Linked DNA regions of Caenorhabditis elegans. The protein of the gene in region 1 purifies or fractionates together with the protein of each later gene. This does not show direct contact. Each region holds a gene or a part of one and is shown in the gene's direction. Other genes may lie near its edges. The genes, in order: T10G3.3 and F45F2.10.

The links.
Region 2: the proteins of T10G3.3 (region 1) and F45F2.10 fractionate together in Caenorhabditis elegans (co-fractionation; one large-scale study listed by BioGRID). This does not show direct contact.

Annotation. Positions count from the first base shown.
Region 1 is NC_003283.11:13,484,597-13,493,152, reverse strand, and holds T10G3.3 (Abnormal cell migration protein 18-like fibronectin type I domain-containing protein), read left to right. Parts: upstream 1-3,526; coding exon 3,527-3,613; intron 3,614-4,341; coding exon 4,342-4,470; intron 4,471-4,743; coding exon 4,744-4,973; intron 4,974-5,024; coding exon 5,025-5,106; intron 5,107-5,568; coding exon 5,569-5,747; intron 5,748-5,792; coding exon 5,793-5,916; intron 5,917-5,960; coding exon 5,961-6,023; 3' UTR 6,024-6,127; downstream 6,128-8,556. Other genes in the region: eea-1 (FYVE-type domain-containing protein), read left to right, coding at 1-51, 99-362, 678-951, 1,000-1,175, 1,567-1,788.
Region 2 is NC_003283.11:8,515,043-8,523,598, reverse strand, and holds the start of F45F2.10 (ANK_REP_REGION domain-containing protein), read left to right. Parts: upstream 1-4,834; 5' UTR 4,835-5,031; intron 5,032-5,251; 5' UTR 5,252-5,288; coding exon 5,289-5,478; intron 5,479-5,989; coding exon 5,990-6,267; intron 6,268-6,331; coding exon 6,332-6,744; intron 6,745-6,791; coding exon 6,792-7,710; intron 7,711-7,815; coding exon 7,816-8,064; intron 8,065-8,200; coding exon 8,201-8,251; intron 8,252-8,306; coding exon 8,307-8,527; intron 8,528-8,556. Other genes in the region: otpl-7 (Otopetrin-2), read right to left, coding at 1-515, 559-806, 858-930, 1,303-1,437, 1,485-1,744, 2,036-2,078; F45F2.11 (Protein kinase domain-containing protein), read left to right, coding at 2,794-2,795, 2,837-2,905, 2,963-3,320, 3,364-3,854, 3,898-3,990, 4,046-4,253.

The DNA of each region.
Region 1 (8,556 bases):
AGGGAATCCACAATTCAGTCGATTCAAGAAGCATTAGAAACCAAAGATAACGTAAGATAGTTCAGAAATTGATTTTTTTTAAAATTATTATTTTGCAGGAAATTGAGTCTCTGAAAACTACGCAACGTGTCGTGGAAGATGAGCTAGTTTCAAAAATCTCGCACATCGAATCTTTCAATTCTAGAATTGAAGAGTTTGAGAAAGAAATGGCCAGTGGAAAGAGAACGATCGAACGATTAGAAGCAGAAAAAGCAGAAGAAACTGAGAAGCTTGTCGTTTTCACTGGAACACAGAGCCAGAAACAAGAAGAATTGGAAAAGTTGCAGAAGGAGATTCAAGAGAAGGAAACTACGATTGCAAGGGTTCGTTTAGATTTTTTTTGTACATAACTAAAAAATAGGAAACGAATTCTTAAGAAACTTGCACGCTTTTTTAAATCGTTTTTTTTTATTAAAAAATTCGATTAAAACATCCAATTATAAATGTTAAATAAAAAAATTCTAAAACTTAATTTTTTTTCAATTTTTCAAAAACAAAAGAAAACCTTTTTTGTTTTTGCAAAGTTGAAAAATCATTTGAAAAAACATTTAGAAATTGTTCATAAGGTCATTGCAGTTCATTCATTTTCTATCAAAATGTCAAAATGACTCTTGTCCACCATTAAATATAAATTCCAGATGACATCCAGCAAAACACAATTTGAAGCCATGTTCGCCGACGTTCAACAGACACTTTCGAAAGAAATAAATGATAAAACTGAAGAAATTGAACGGCTCATGGAAAGAATTGATAGCCTTGAAAAGGTGAATCATTCAAGAATCGAAGAATTAGAGAGCAGATTGACTCAAAGAGAACGAGTCGTTGAATCTCTTGAAGCTGATTTGGCTGCAGTCAGAAATATCGAACAAGAGAAACTTGATGAGTTGCAGAAATTGAAAGAAGAATTTGATGGCAAGTTTAAATATTTCAAGTGATAAATAACATTTTGAAATTTTTTAGAATTGAAAAAAGCTGAAACAATGTGGCAAGCAGAGAAAGATATGCTAATCGAGCGGTGTCTTGGCAGTGAAAGTGACATTGAATACGAGAAAGAGAGATCACAAGAGAATAAGAGAAGATTTGATGATGCTCTTTCAGCCATGCATGAACTTGGAAGAGCCAATCAGTCACTGCAGGTAATTTTTAGCATATAATTTTTGCCTTTCGAAAATATTAAAAAAAAAAACATTTTCTTGTAAAGTTCCGCGAACGATTAAATTTTGTCGGATTCGATACGATTTTCAAAATGTTTGAAGAATAATTTTGAATATTTAGGACCTCTTTTTTCATTAAAAATATAAAAACAACACAAAAAAGAATCATTTTCGTAAAAATGGAAAAAAGCTAAAGTTCGACCCGTTTTTATGGGTGGAGATTAGAGGAAAAAGTGCGGTAATTCAAACGAGGAGATTAGAAAGAGTTGAAAATCGCCAAAATCATCTTCCTTTTTTCAAACCTAATAAAATAACTCGCCATTGACAGTATTCATGAAGGAGTAGAATCCTGTTCAATTCTAAAAAATTACAGATTGATGCCGACCGTTACAGTTCTCGGAAATGGCTTGACGATGCAGAAGCAATTAATTGTACCGAATGTGGAAAGGTGTTTTCTCTGACAGTTCGAAAGCATCATTGCCGAGTTTGTGGAAAGATTTATTGCAATCCATGCAGTTCAAAATCAGTCCGAATTGCGAGTGCCAAGAATCCAGTCCGAGCCTGCAACACGTGCTTCACTGATTCCCAGAAATGATTTTATTAATTTATAATTTTAAAATTTAAATTCAATGATCTGATTATGATCTATGTTTGTAAATTATCAAATGCCCTAATTTATATACAAGTACACTTATATTTATTAATCATATTGAATCCATCTCCCAATCCCTGCCCGTATATACAGAGTTATGTGCCATTTCACGAGACCGCCCCCAATCAAAAAGACACTCACGAGTTTCAGTTTTACCAATCCCGATCCTAGTTCATTGTGTGATACATTGCCATTTTAGTCATTTTCTTTCTATGTGCTATTGATGAATTTATATTGATTACTACTAGTGTTTATTTTTGCAAACGATGAGATAATCAATCAAACATGCTGCAGGAAAATGAGGAGAAGAAGAAGAAGATGCACGGGATGTTTGAGATCTTTTAGGGAGTGATCGGAAGTCCTGACATAGCGGATATCGGGAGTTGGGTCAGATTACAGAAATATACCTAATGTGAATATGTACTTTGATTTTACGAAAAAAAATCGCATTCAAATATCTGAATTAGGGCCTGTTGATAACTCGTATATGATCGTTTTCGGTGAGTTTCGAGAGAATGCCTAATAAAAAGAAAAGCCACTAGGCTCGTTGTGACACGGGTCTGGTTTTTACGTGGCCTAGAAAAAACTAGGCCAGCAATTTAACTCAGTTTTCACGCCAGGTTGTTTTGAAGCCTAGAATGTAAATTGTTATATTACCTTGATTTGATTTGATGACTTTCATGAGAAATTTTGCGATCTTTGTCCTAATCCCACAGCAAGGTTCTTACTACATGGCCGTGATATATATATATATATATATATATATATATATATATATATATATGAAATCTCGGCCACTCATAAAATGAGTGAAGAGCAATTTTTTCCACTCTCGAAACGACCGCTATTGGCGAAATCTCTCGTTGTTGTATGCAAATGGTTTTTTAAAACTGTTTTTCTATATTGATTTTTGAGAAACGAAACGGAGTTGGGAGCTACAGTACCCCTTAAAGAAACATTTTTTTTGGATTAAAAAAAATCGCTCGTGCCGAGACCGGACATTGCACCTTTTTTAGCAAAAATAATATGCCTATTTTTCATTATTTAATATCAATTCTGCTGAATATCTAAGTCATATTCTAGGAAAACATTTCAATAAGGGGGATCCTCCCTTCATATCTCTTCCGCTCTTCATCTCATCGGTCATCATCTTCTCCGAGATAAAATCAAAATATCTGCAACTACATAGACTTCACCTTATTGATGACGTCATAACATCTTCTGCAGCAGCATCTCCCGAAGCTCCGCCCACATTTCAACGTCTTCTGTCGTTTCGGACGATCAAGGACAAGTAATACACACAGAGGTTAGGTTAAAAAAAAATGAAAGAAGACGTCAATTTCTCTTCTTTTTCTCCATCACTCACTTTTTCGAATAAATTTGTTATCATTGAATTCTCTGATCTTTATCTCTTTTATTCATCGCTTTTTATCCATGGAGAAGGGGTTGAATGGGAACATATTTTGTGTGTTAGGTGACCTTTTTTATTTAAATGTTACACATCTTCTCACTAGTTACCGAATACTGTTCAAAATCTAATTTAACTTCTTCATTCACTTTCATTTTGTTTCATTAACTAACTTGTCGCATTAGTCATGTTTTATTCCACCAGTCTTTTTTAGGTTTCTAAAACTTTGGTTCTATCTGGAAATAAAGAAATATCTGAAATCCAAACTTTCAGATGTTACTACCACTTCTTCTTCTCTCAACAGCTGTAGTTAATGGATGTGTTCACAAGGGTGAAAAATATAAGAATGGAGATACTTGGGTGAGATATTTTATGTATTATTCAGTGTTTAAAATAAATGTTCGATGCTATTCAAATATTGTGTGGCAGAATTTTTTTCTTCAGTTTTAAATGTCTAAAACACGATTTTTGACAAATTTTGTGGCAACAGCGCCTCGAGCCAATTTTTATCGACTTCAATGTAGATATTGTGATGGTCCAAGTATGTACCAGTGCCTTAAAGTTATCAAAAACTGCAAAATGGTAAAATTTTTCCTATGTTTCAAAAGTTAACCTAAGAAAATGCTGAGACTCGGTTTTTCCTGCTCAGTTTGAGCATGTTTAAACAACCTTGTCAACCTCGATACTCGAATTTTAAAATAATTTTGTACACTCTTTATATTAACGCTATTTTGAAACCAAATTTCAAATCACTTACGGAACTTTTGCCATTTATTTCTGCATTAAAGAAAAGTATGCGATTTTGTTACAGTTTAGTTTTCAACGGAATCAAAAAAGCTATCGTTTTCCGTACTTTGCCACATAATTACCAACAGATTTCGTGAATACTTTTAACAAGCAGTCAATCATTTTTGTTACCTTCTATATACCTCCAAAAGTATCTTGCAGTAACTGCTTAATTACTCTGAAATTCTTTTTTACCGGTTTCACTGGGAAAATGTAACTTGTTTGTGGTGAAAAACAATCTTTGGACAAACTAAACGTTTTTGTGATCTGTTGTTTTCAAATCAACGAATTTTTTTTTTCAGATAGCCCGTTCAACCTTCGTACTTCGATGTGATATCACTAAAAATGGTTGGAAGACTACAGTAATTGGTTGCAAAACTGATGAAGGTGTCCACGTGTTACCCGGTCAGACAGTTCATGAAGGAAATACGGTTTGTGATCAGGTTCACGTACTGGTTTTACTACTGACCAGTATCAAAGTCACTAACATTCCTTTCTTCTTTTACAATCACCTCAACTATTTTTGACCGGTGCCCAACCCTTAATTTAGTTCAATTTGAAATGATAACTGCAAACCAGTTATGACAGTTCACTAGTGGGAGACACAATAAATGATGATTAACAGATAGAAATAGCAAAAATGACTTTTGAAAGACAAAACGTACAGAAAACTAGTTTAATTTTTATAATTTTTTTTGTTTTAGAAATACGAATGTTTGAAAGAGAAAGATGGAACTGTTGAAATCAGAAGAACATTAAATATCAAGAGAAAGAAGAGTTGTGGAGACCATTCAATTGGAGATACATGGGTTTTCGAGAAGAGTTTTATGGCAAAATGTACGGCTAAAGGAGTTCAAATATCTGATTGCATTTCGGATTCAGGAATTCCGGTACCACTTAATGGATCACTTGTTTTGAGTGGAATCAAGTATGAGTAAGTTTCGATCCAAAAAATAACGGCAAAAATAATATAATATATTTTCAGATGCGTCATGGATTCGAATGGAAAAGTTTCACTTCACAGAGATGCTGCTCCACAACAAAATACAGTTACTAGGGCAACCACGGTAAGTTTTAGTATTTGAAGATTGATGGTAAATTTTTTAATTCAAAATGTTATAACTTCAAAGGCCACCTCTAGGTAAGTCTGAAAACTAGGAAAGCATTGAGCCTGAAAATGTCAATATGAAATTTTGTTGACCTACAGAAGTTTATTATAGTTTTTTTCTAGTTCGAAGAGCTTCTCGACCGCTTTTTTTCTTACATAGAAAACTGTATACTTCACCTTAATATAAATCGCATAGATCTAGTTTTAGAATCAGCCAAAGTCAGCTCAAACAGTTTTCTTTTGAGATTTGTTTTACTGCTCCAACCTGGTTTTTAATTGGAAAAATATTAGTTGCCAAAGTTATATATATATATTCATTTATTGAGAAGAAAAAAATCAATAAATATAATTAGACTCATCCCGATTTTTGTGCAAGTTGTGCACAAAAATCACACTCTTCCTAACCAGAATTCGATTTCAGTTGAGTCCCGTCGAAATTCTTGGTCCAATGTTTAAGAACTTTGGAGCAATGGATGTCGATGATCTTCTTGCTCCAAAACCTGCAGATCCTGTGCAAGAAGTTCCAGCTGCCGAACAAATGATGGAGACGTCAGAGACAACCTGCGATTTTGAAGGAGAAAATAGGAAGTCTGGAGATATGTAAGTTTGTTTCCTTGTTTCAAAAATCCCATAACATTTTTTCAGCTGGGTATCAGACGGAATTTTCACGAAAAAATGCACAGACGAAGGTGCTACAGTAATCTTGAACTGCATTGTGGACGATAAGACTATTATTAATGTGGATAATGAGCTGACAATTGGAAAGAAGGTTTGAATAGTTTTATTCTTTAAACAATAATAAAATACTTTCAGACCTACAAATGCTACAGGAAAAAGGAGGAAAATAGAGTGTACTACGAAGTTAGAATAAACTAGAAACAATTCCTGATTTCTGAATTTTGCATCTTTCCCACGGGTGCCTAGATCCCATTTTTTTGAAAAACATTTAGTTTTCATCCATAAATAAATATTTTTTTACGTTTCTTCTTGCCTTGAGGAAGTTTTCTTACAATTCCAAATTGAAACCTACTGAAAATAAATCAGAAACATTCTATAGTTACAATGCATCTCAATAGTTTTTCTGGAAGTCTAGGTCGTGAATATTTGTTCTGCAATATTATCAAAACTCATAAAACACAATTCCCAAATCACGCGGCACGAAATGTTTTCCGACCTAATAAATAATAACTTCTGGGGTTGTTTTATTGGATATTGGCACGGTCTATTCATGTACATATTATACGTTTAATTTTAAAATAAGAAACTTTGAAAAGAGACGTTTTGAATTGATGCTTTGTTTTTTTTTAAGTCAAAAATATTGAAATAAATGAACTTATTAGTAGAAGATTACCTGCAATCAGACACATTCCTTTTAACTTGCCCACTTTCCTATTAAAAAATTGGCAGTCCTTGGTTCTGAAGCCTTAGTGGGGTGGTGACTATTTTTGGAAGTTAACTATAAACTTATTACGCAATTAAAAAAGTATTATTTCCGTTGTTTAACAGCTGAAACTGAGTTTAAATCATGAAACATTACGTTCTTATTATATAAATTTAAAAGGAAACTAATCTTGAAACATGTCTGCTAATCAAAGTTCAGCTTTTTGCGTGAAGGTGTAAAACCTAATTTTTTAGTTATCAATTTGAATTTCATTTTCCTACGTTTCGTTTCCCTGAATCCACGTTTTCCCGTATATTACATTTAAGTACCGGCTATACCCTTATTTCCAAATAAATCTGATTAAATTTCTTTTAGGGCAGCTTGGTCAGAAACCTAATTATCTTTTCCTCTAGAAAGTTTAAAGAAACGTGTAAATGTTGGGTTTCATTATTCCGGAGGTCTCAATGGTCTTTTGAGTTTTCAACTTTCAGATTTTAAAGAGTTGTTTTTTTTTTTGAAATTTGAAATTATATTTTTCTTAAAATTCACTGATGCGGAAACTTCAGTGTTTTAAAGGTTATGTACGTATTAAATGAAGATTCTAAAAATTGGAGCATTGAACAAAACTGAATATAAGTTTCCAATGCATGTTTCCTAATTAGAAAAATGACATCAAAAATTCCAAAAATGTAGACAAGTTTATTTTTTCTTGGAACGTTTCTTATGAAAGCTCACAAGAAAATCTTATGTTTTCCTTTTTGGTTGAAACCAGTTTAGGTTCAAATTAACCTATCATTACTAAAATAAATGTCAGGTGATGTCAGCAGATATAGATGTTTTGATTTAACCAGAACATTTATTTTCCCACGACGACTTTCTTCTTTATTTTATTTTTTTAAACCTCTACCTAAAGGTTTGCAGAGTTAATTTTAAACAAAACTTCTCATAACATTTCCGCAAATTTTTATTTATTGTGAAAGCTTGATACTTCTTGAAATTAGAATGAGCACAAAAACGTGTAGTTTTTGGAAATGTTTCCCGGTTTCTTGCTTCTGTTGATTTTTTATTAAAAATTTTTTGAAGAGGAATAAATCAATCTAGTTGACCTGTGTGCATTTTACTACAAGATGCCCCTTGAATTCGGATTCTTGGGTAATGAAGTAAAAAATTTTTTATGCACTCTGAAGTTTAAAAAATAAAATGTTTTCTGGCGGTGACCTCAAATCTTTCAGTTAAAATTTGTAAAGTGTTTTAAACTCATTATATTGTTCTGAGCCGATAAAACATTGGTTTAAAAAAGTATAAATCAGAAAGTTGGAATTAAGAAAGAACGAAGTGCAGGTTCTGTACACTCCATTTAACTGTGTAGGTTTAGTGAAAATTCAAAATACAAACTGTTAATTCTTTTCAAGAAAAATTCAAACACATTCGTCACATAATCAGGAAGTATTTTTAAAAACTCTTGTTTCTGTAAATACTTATTTTATTCAGAAATAAAATTATTCCAGCTCCCATTCGGTCAGAAATATTAGTTCAACAATAACATAAAAGATTGAACAAAAAGGGCGGGGCATGAGTATTTTGTCTTGACGATTCAATTTAGGCCAGTTTATTTAAGTAAAAATATTACCAGATTTCCTCGGAGCTCAGAACTTGAAATTGTTGTTGTACGTTTTTGTTTGTGGTTCGTTTTCTAAAACAATTCCGATTTAGTCCACCACATAATTCCAATTTATAATACGTTTATTTTTTTCTCAAAGGCAATATTTCTAACCTATTTCTGTACCCCGATTGTTTGATTTTACAGTTTTCCAAAAACTATGTATAATACCGATATGGTTCTTTCAATTTTTCCGTATACGGAAAAGGCTCTCCAAGTTTTTAAAACCAAATCTTTCTAGCTCTGAATCACTTCTTCGTTAAGCTTAAATATTGTCTTGAATAATGTTAGGTTGTTGAGCCATTTTTCACAACAATTTCCTTTTAACAGACAAACATGTGATAGATATTTTGAGAAAAAGTAGTGGA
Region 2 (8,556 bases), 5.0 Mb from region 1:
ACCAAATCAGCACTTTGAGTCTTCTTCTTATTATACAACATTGTATAAATTCCAATTGTTACAAAAGCGGCAGTCATGAAAAATATTCCAAGGAATAGACCGATTGTTGTGTTATGACAATCCATTCTTAGCTTCTTCTTCTTTTTATCAACTTTCATTTCAATATTTGTCGCTCCCATATATTTCCAAATAATGAAGCAGATAGCTGCTCCAATAAGAGAATATTCAACGAGACAAGTGAGCAGAAAACTTGAAAAGTCACCGAGACGAACCATTGATTGCATTCGGAGCAATGATGTTGTGTTGGATGAATTGGTGTAAGGATATGGAGTGCTTGTATATGTTGTTCCTTTTCCAGGCTTTAACTTTTCTAAAACTACTTCGATAAGGTTCTCCAATAATGTAGAAGATTCCGGTTCGAGTATTTCTTCGGAAGAGGAAGAAGAATCAGAAGAAGATGATGAGGAACTATGATATTCCAGCTCTTTCTTTTGCTTTTTAAGCTTTTTGACTTGCTGAAAATTAATATTTAAATTGCTTTAGAGACTCCATACTTACCGCTTTCACAAGACACATGGAAAACCATGTCCATAAATTTACAGCTACACAATGCATCATTCCAAAACTTGCGAGAATATTCGATCGATGAAATGTGATTTTTGAATTACAAACTATGAAATGCATTTGTAGAAATGTGAATATTATCGCCGCAATATGCTTGGCAACGACCAACCGATGAACACATTCACCAGAGAAACACAAGAAGATTTCACATCCCCAAAGAACACTTCCAAGTGTTCCGAAGACTGAAAAAATTTATTTTGTGGAAACAGGAATTGAAAAATATAGTAACTTACAAATGGCTCCAAGTCGTAAGTATAGGGTGCCAGCTCCTTCTCCATTATGTATTGGGTCGGAAAGAAGCCATCTCTAAAAATTGGGAAGTCGAGTTATTGAGAGCGGATTTGAAGTTTTAGAACCTAGCGCCTACTTTCACAGCTTAAAATTTGGTTTACTCATTTCCCATTTCAATTAGATTGTTTAAAAATTCAATTGAAACTTGAAATGATAGTCAACTTTGGAAACATAGAGAGTCACTCGTGTAGACACGAGGCAGGCATAGGCCGCTTTAAAGGTACATAAGTAGACAGGTGTTTACTATTCAACTACTCAATCATAAATTAGACGTTTTGGTCATTAAATAGAGTCGAATACATTGTAAGACATGCCGAAGAAAACTTAAGGATTTTTGTTTAGTTTTCTAAGAAAAACATTCATAGATATCAAAATATAAAAACTCACATCTGGTCTTGGCACCAATGAAGTTTTTCGATTCAAGATCATGATCAACATGTTAATCGGTTTTGGATAAATAATCATCAAATACGTGTACATGAAGAACAAGATTGCAATAAGATACATCAATAGTGAGAAAATCTGAAAAAATGACTTTTCCTTCCTCTCCGGCCTTTATGAATCCCTACCGTTTCAGCTAGCCATAGATCTGGCGAGCTCCAGGCAGATGAGATAGAAATGAGACAAGATACGATGGTTAGAAGAAGTACATACATACTTGTGAGTAATCCAACTAGAAAACGTAAAGCTTTCGGATTTCGAATCCACTGTGGATGTTCCAACAGTGATTCAGTTGGTGATGGAAGAGCATTTGGAACTGTGACATGATCAAGTGGGGCTGTTGATGTACTCGCAACACTGACAATTGATTCTTTTTCTCGGAGAGGTTCTAGAATTGATGATAAATTGAATTTAGAGAGTAAATAGTATTTTTACTTGAATATTCTTACATACCATGTACATCAGAGTTATAATTGTTGTCCATATTCGCAAGAAATTGAAAAAAAAATGGTTAAAGTTACAGCCAGAAATTTCAAAAACTACAATGTATTGTACACGAGATATGAGATGTATCCCGAACAAAGGATGAATGGGATAAGTGTACTACGAAGAACATACAAGATGTTGAAAGTTCGGTGTACCCTCTCGAGAGCTGATCAGCACAAAAACTGTGACTTACCTTTTCTCGCCAATTCATTTTTGCTTGTGGTGCGAACAACCATGTCGATTATGACTTTCTAACTGCGATCAGAAATGTGTATTTATACCCTAAAATGAGCTACAGTACTACATGAGGGGTATCAAACGCTCAAACATTGCTGTCGGGCAGAAAAAAAACGTGTTGTCCATTTGTGGGAATTGTCTATTTATGTTTGCAATCAACAAATAGCAGTCGGAATTTCGTATAATTTCGAGTTTAATTCACGTTCTTTGATGGTTTGTACTTTGTAATTTGAAAAATTACGGTAATAGTAAAGGCACAGTAGAAAAATTTAAACGCAGGTCTCGCACGGAACACAGTACCTCTGACGACGCTTGGAAAACAATTTTGTTTCACTTGTCATCATCAGAGTGTTTTCTTCCGAATTTTTTCGAATTTAGTGGATTTTTTTTGGTTTTTCATTGATTAATTTTCCACGGAATATTTATTTTATTTCTTTTTGGTCATTTTTAATCAAAATTTTCAAAATTATTCCAGTTCCTCATGTTTCAATGTTGTAAACTGTAACCACTCAAATATTTGTTTTGAGCCGAACTTGTGTATTGTAAACTTTCCGAAGATCAAACCACCAATTAACATTTCAGTCATGTGTTAATAATCAATCAAAGTAAATATATTTATTTTCAGATCTCTCCGCATGACCTAATAAGGAACATTCAGTCCAAAATCGATGTCTACCGCATGAAAACACTACAACTGATATTAACATAACTGACATGTAAGATAATTTACTAATCAGTGCAAATAATTTTTTTTTAGGGACACCGAAGATACTTCAGGGTATTCATCGCTAAAATCATCACCACAATCTTCCGATGAAAATTTTTTGTAAGAGACATTTAAAAAAAAACCTTTTAGCTAATTCTGATAAAATATTTCTTTCAGCAAGAGGCTACAATGGGGAAAAATACGATTGGAGCTCAAGACACCAGAGTTTCTGAAAGAAAGCTCAGAATTGGAAATTGAAAAGAATGAGAAGTCTGGAATACAGAAATGTGGAGAAAATGAAGGTGAAAATGAGGAAAAGTGTGAATTTCGTCCAGTCGTCACACCAAACGAAATTGATTCTCATAAGGAGTGGTATCACAGGCTTCTAATGCTCAAGTTAGAATATAAGCGCGGTGAACGGGGAGCTTTTCCTCCATTTCCACCACCACCTCTTCCTTCCATGATGATTGCTGCAAGTAACGCCGTATCGTTCAATGCGTTCGACGAAGTCAAAAGAGCAGCTCAAGCGAAAACCGTAAGGTTATTCAGAAATTCGATATCGTAATTATCATTTTCAGGCAAAGTCTCCGAGCACGTCTTCATTGGAAAGACGAGCCCAACGTTTTTGTCCCGCTGATTTTCAACCACTTCCTCCACCTCACATCTACATTGAAATGATCAGAACATTGGCTCCTCACCAATACATTGATTTGACTTATGCTCTCGCTGGTTCGGTTCTTTTAGAGATGGGTGTCAAGATTCCTGATCGATATCCGAATTTACCTCCGAAAATTGAACCGTACCGAGACATTGAGTCAGAAGAAGCAGCTCACTGGACTGAGATGTCATCACAATCATCCTCGGAAGGGGAATATTCAGACGCTTCTGAGAGTGCGAAGCTAGTGCAAACGTTGAATAGAAGAAAAAATAAGGAACGAAGGGAAACGAGGAAGATAAGAATTGTTGCAAGTATGCTCACATCTTCGACTTTTTCAATGAAGAAAAAAAGGAAAAATGAAGGACTTGATTTTAAACATGAAACATTTCCGAGAGATTATGATTATAAAGAGTAAGAATTTAAGTAGTTATCGAATATTAAATCGTTATTTCAGAAAAACACTTTCTACATTCATTCCTCCGAGAATTGCCCGTCGTCCTCCTATTCCTCCACCGCAATTCTTCTTTCCACCATCACCACATTTCAGGTATTCATGTAATTTACTAATTCAATATCGCTAAATACTAATTTTATATTTCCAGCCGTGAGCCTCACTCGCTCCCACCAATGCCGATGATGTTGCCTATCCCATTACCACCGATGTCACTATCCTCTCCAATCTCGCCAATCCATTTCCAAAAAAATCTTCAGTCTACTCCAGAACGTCCTTCTCGAACTGATTCTTCTCGAGTCCACGCAAAACAAATCAAAAACGATATTATTATCGTCGAAAAAGTAACTGATGTCTAGAAAGACAATGATTATTTAATCTTCCAATTCTTTTCATTAATTTTTTCCTTAATTTCTGTAATTTTTAAAATAACATTTCAAGAAACTTCTCATCTCTCGTAAATCGACAAAGAGTCGTTCCTTTGTCCGCAATTGCTCGTCGAATTCGACGTTTGTGCAGAGCCGGCTGCACAATGGTCGTCGTGTCTGGAACGATTTTTTGTCGGTGAGCGACGGAAATGTTCTGAAAATCTTTGTATTTATGCTTTTGTTTTTTCTCTGTCTTCGCTTTCCCAATTTTACAAATTCCATTTGTTCCTGTTTCTTTCATTCCCTTGACAAAGTCACAAAATTTGTCCTTTTTTTCCTTTTTATCTACCGTTGTGATCTACACGAATAAGATTTTCTTCATGCTTTTTTGCTTATAAATTTTTTTTTGTGCTCGTTTGGATTTCGATAGTCCTATTATATTTATTAAAAAGATAGAAATCACAAAATTAAAAAAAGGCAAGGTAAATTTCAAAAACTGAATAATTTATGATTTAAAATTTCAATGGATATACTGAACTGAAACTTTAAAATCGTTTAATTTGTATTTTTAGGTCGTTATTTCTAGACCTCCCGAACGAGGGTCAGATTAATTAAAAAATTGCCTTTTTTGAATTTATGGAAAAACAAATCGAGTTATTCTGAATGTTGGATCATAAAATTGTTGCTCAATAATCTCACACCCCAAATCTTGTCGCAAATTTGCACTCTACTTCTCTGGCGCCATCTCTCGTTATTTCTATCTGCCACCGTGAGTTGTTTTCTTCCTACACTTCTGTTAGCGGGCCCCTCGTCTCGTTTCGAACGTGCCGTCCCCTCCACGCTCTCCATTTTTAATTCTCTTTTTCTCTTCGGTGAGTGTTTGTCTGTGAGCGAAGTGTGAGTGTCTTCTGGTTCTATCACTCATATACGCACATCCATATTTATTTCGTATATCACAGTTTAGCTCACACACACTCAATTTGTTGCAGAGGCTGTCAAAAGCAACAGTCTTTTCAGTTGGGTTCAATGCCAAAGGATAAAAAATCTAAGCAAAAAAAGGAAGGAAGTAGTGGACAAGAAGTAGAAATCGTCATTAAAAGAAAGAATTCGATTGTGGATTCAAGTGGAGGCTCGTCTTCTTCATCTTCCGAAACATCAGGAAGCTCATCGGATCAATCATCGCAATCTGGAGATAGCGACGGATCCATTGGATTTGGTAGGATTTATTGTTTGGAGGAAGCTGTTCACTCTCAAAAGCGATTGATTTCATCGATGAGAAAACATCAGAAATAAATATTTGAAATGCGAGGGATTTCGCAATTGATAGTTTTTAAAAAATTTCGGACAATTCAAACTCCTGTTTCAGCGCAATATTTATTTTTGATCTACAAAAATTAACTTTAAGAAACTTGTTTTTGTAGAAGTAGATCAAGAAAATTAGTCCTCGAAAAAAAAATTCGGAAAAGAGGTACCGCGAAAATTGTCAAATAGTTTGCTGAAAACGAGAATTTCATGCGGCGTCCATAGTGCGGAGAACAGTTTACTCGCTTTCACATTGCTCAACTTAACATTTCGCAGGCTCTGATTGGTTGATCACGCCCAATTTTTGAAATTGATCAATAGCGAAACGAAAAACTCCTCGCTTTTTCTGCGCACTATGGACGCCTCGGAAATTTCCGTTTTCCAAATTTTACCATTTCTTCTGAATAAACATAACCAAATTTCAGAACACGAGAAAGGTACAATGACTGGCGGTGATAATGTACAAGGGAGCAGCAGCAGCCACCCCGATTTGGGAAATAATTGCTCCGTGAGAATTAGAGATAGAACAGAAGAAATGCGGAAATTGATGGATGAAAATGCAAAGAACAGACCGGTGCGAATTGTCGACAATGTACATGGTGTTCCAATCACAGAATTCACTCACATAGTTCCTATCTCGGATCAAGAAAGAGATGATGGTCCATCAACTTCTGGAAGCTATCCGAATAGAGAACCTGCTCAGGTAGGAATTGAAAATAATTTTTTGAACCAGGTGTCAGAAAGAGCTTAATTTTAAAAAATTGCAGCCGTCGTGTAGCAGTTCAAAACAAAATGGAAAGACTGCGAAGAACAACTTCAAACAAAAACAATTGACAAAGAAACAAAGAAAAGAGCTCGAAAGGAAAGAATTCGAGATTTCCGGAGCACCAGCGCCAATCTATCCAGGTCAAAAAGAACGCACGAAAAATCCGATAGAATATGTTGTTGAAAAAGAGCGAAATAATCTTCATGTTCATCACTTCAATGAATGGTCCGGTGATAATGTTCGAGATGGAGAAATGGTGGTTCGAGGAACGAATGCAGCTGCTCAAAGTATGCTCGGACAGGATACGGTAGCCATTCCGTATTTGCGCCATGAAGATGAACTTGGTCCTCCAATGCATTACACTGATCTACATAAAAATTCTCAAATGAGATATTTACGGAACGTTAATACAATGTAAGAAATCAAGTTGTTCATAATCTTAAATAATTTTTGTTTTTCAGTGGAAATTACACCGGCCTTCCAGCTGCACTGAAACCACTTCATCGGATGGGATACGGTATAGCAGCATCGGGAATTCCAGATCCAGAGCCTCACACCTTGACGATTAATGGTGCAAAACCATTTATGAAGTACCAATACACAGATTACGTGAAATCTGGAGCAAAAATAATCAATTGGCGGAGTGATTTTGTTTCCAATGCAGACATGGATCAAACTTCTCAAGATGAAACCTATGTTGCCATTATGATGGATCACAAGAAAGCCCTTGAAAATATGATCGAAAATACGGATGATGAATTTCAAAAGAATATGATTATTGCACTGAGAGATCTCGATTTGCGACAAGTTCTTCTTCGATTTGGAGAAATTGAACGAATCATCGTTCGTCGGAAACAAAACTATGTATTCAGTGATTGTTTTCCACGATTCGATTCTCTTTCTCGTCAAGCTCGTATCACATATGTTGTGACCCAAACTCTTGACTGGAGCACTAATTTATTTCTCGAAAAGTTTGAAGACGATGTGACTGAGGAACGTGCCTGCTCAATTTTAATGCATCTTGCCTCAACATGTCCTGGAGAGAAACCATGTTACGAAGACAAGCATCGGAAATGCTCAATACTTCACTTCTTGATACATACGACCGCCAACAAGAATATACATTTGAGTCACAAATTTTCTGGTGGAAATACACTTCTTCATTTCGCTGCAATGACAGGTTCACCGTGCCAAGTCGATGTTCTTCTGCGTAACGGAGCTCCACTAAATGAGCTGAATGATCTTCATAAATCTCCAGTTGCATTAGCTATCCGAAGACACACTAGTCTGATTGCTCGACAATTGATGTGGCATGGAGCTGATATTGGAGGATCGTTGTCACTGAATCATGTTCAGCCAAGAACACCTCGACAGGCAGCGGTATTTTTTTAAATGTTTATCAAAAATATCAACACTTTTGAAGTACTTACCTATAAATTTCTAGATTTAAAATTGATATTAAAAGCAATCATAATATTTTTTCAGAACAAAGAGCTCTCCGAATATCATGATTATCAAGCAAAAAGCATTTCGTACAAAGCACGAGAATTTATCAATCAACGTTTGAGGGCTCTGAACAACTCGTTTGTTTCATGGGTTGAAGCCATTATTATTGACGCCGATGGACGAGTCAAGCTGGGTGTACATTCTGTAAAATCAGGTCTTCATCAAGTTCGCATCGGACAAGACATTCTAGATAGATTGGTGGTTGTACAAAATCGTACATTTGTTAAGGTTTGTATGAAAATTAAAAAAAAAACTATTTAGTCTAAATTTTTTGTTTTAAGAATAGTTTTGGAAATTATTATAACTCTATAACTCTATATAACTCTGAAATACTACAAATAAATTTTATTCGAAATTCTTTCAGAAATCATTCCAAATGGTGATCGAGAGAAGTGAATTCGAAGAAGAGCCAGTGGTAAGTCTTTTTCTTTTCGAATTATCTTAAAACTATAAATATTCACATTTGTCAGGTTCTCTTCCTCATACCTTGTCAATACAATCGATTTGACACTACAATGCCTGCCAATTTCCCACATATTGTTCGAGTTCCGATGGTTACTGATGCTCTTGCAACTGCTGAAAGAATTGCTGCGAAAGAGAAGAAGCGTATTGCAAGTGGAGGTGTTCGTGTTGAATACAAAGATGATTTAAAAGGCTGCCGACCGATTAAACTACTTGGAGAATCTGTTTCGTATGTTAATCATATGAGGAACCTTCATA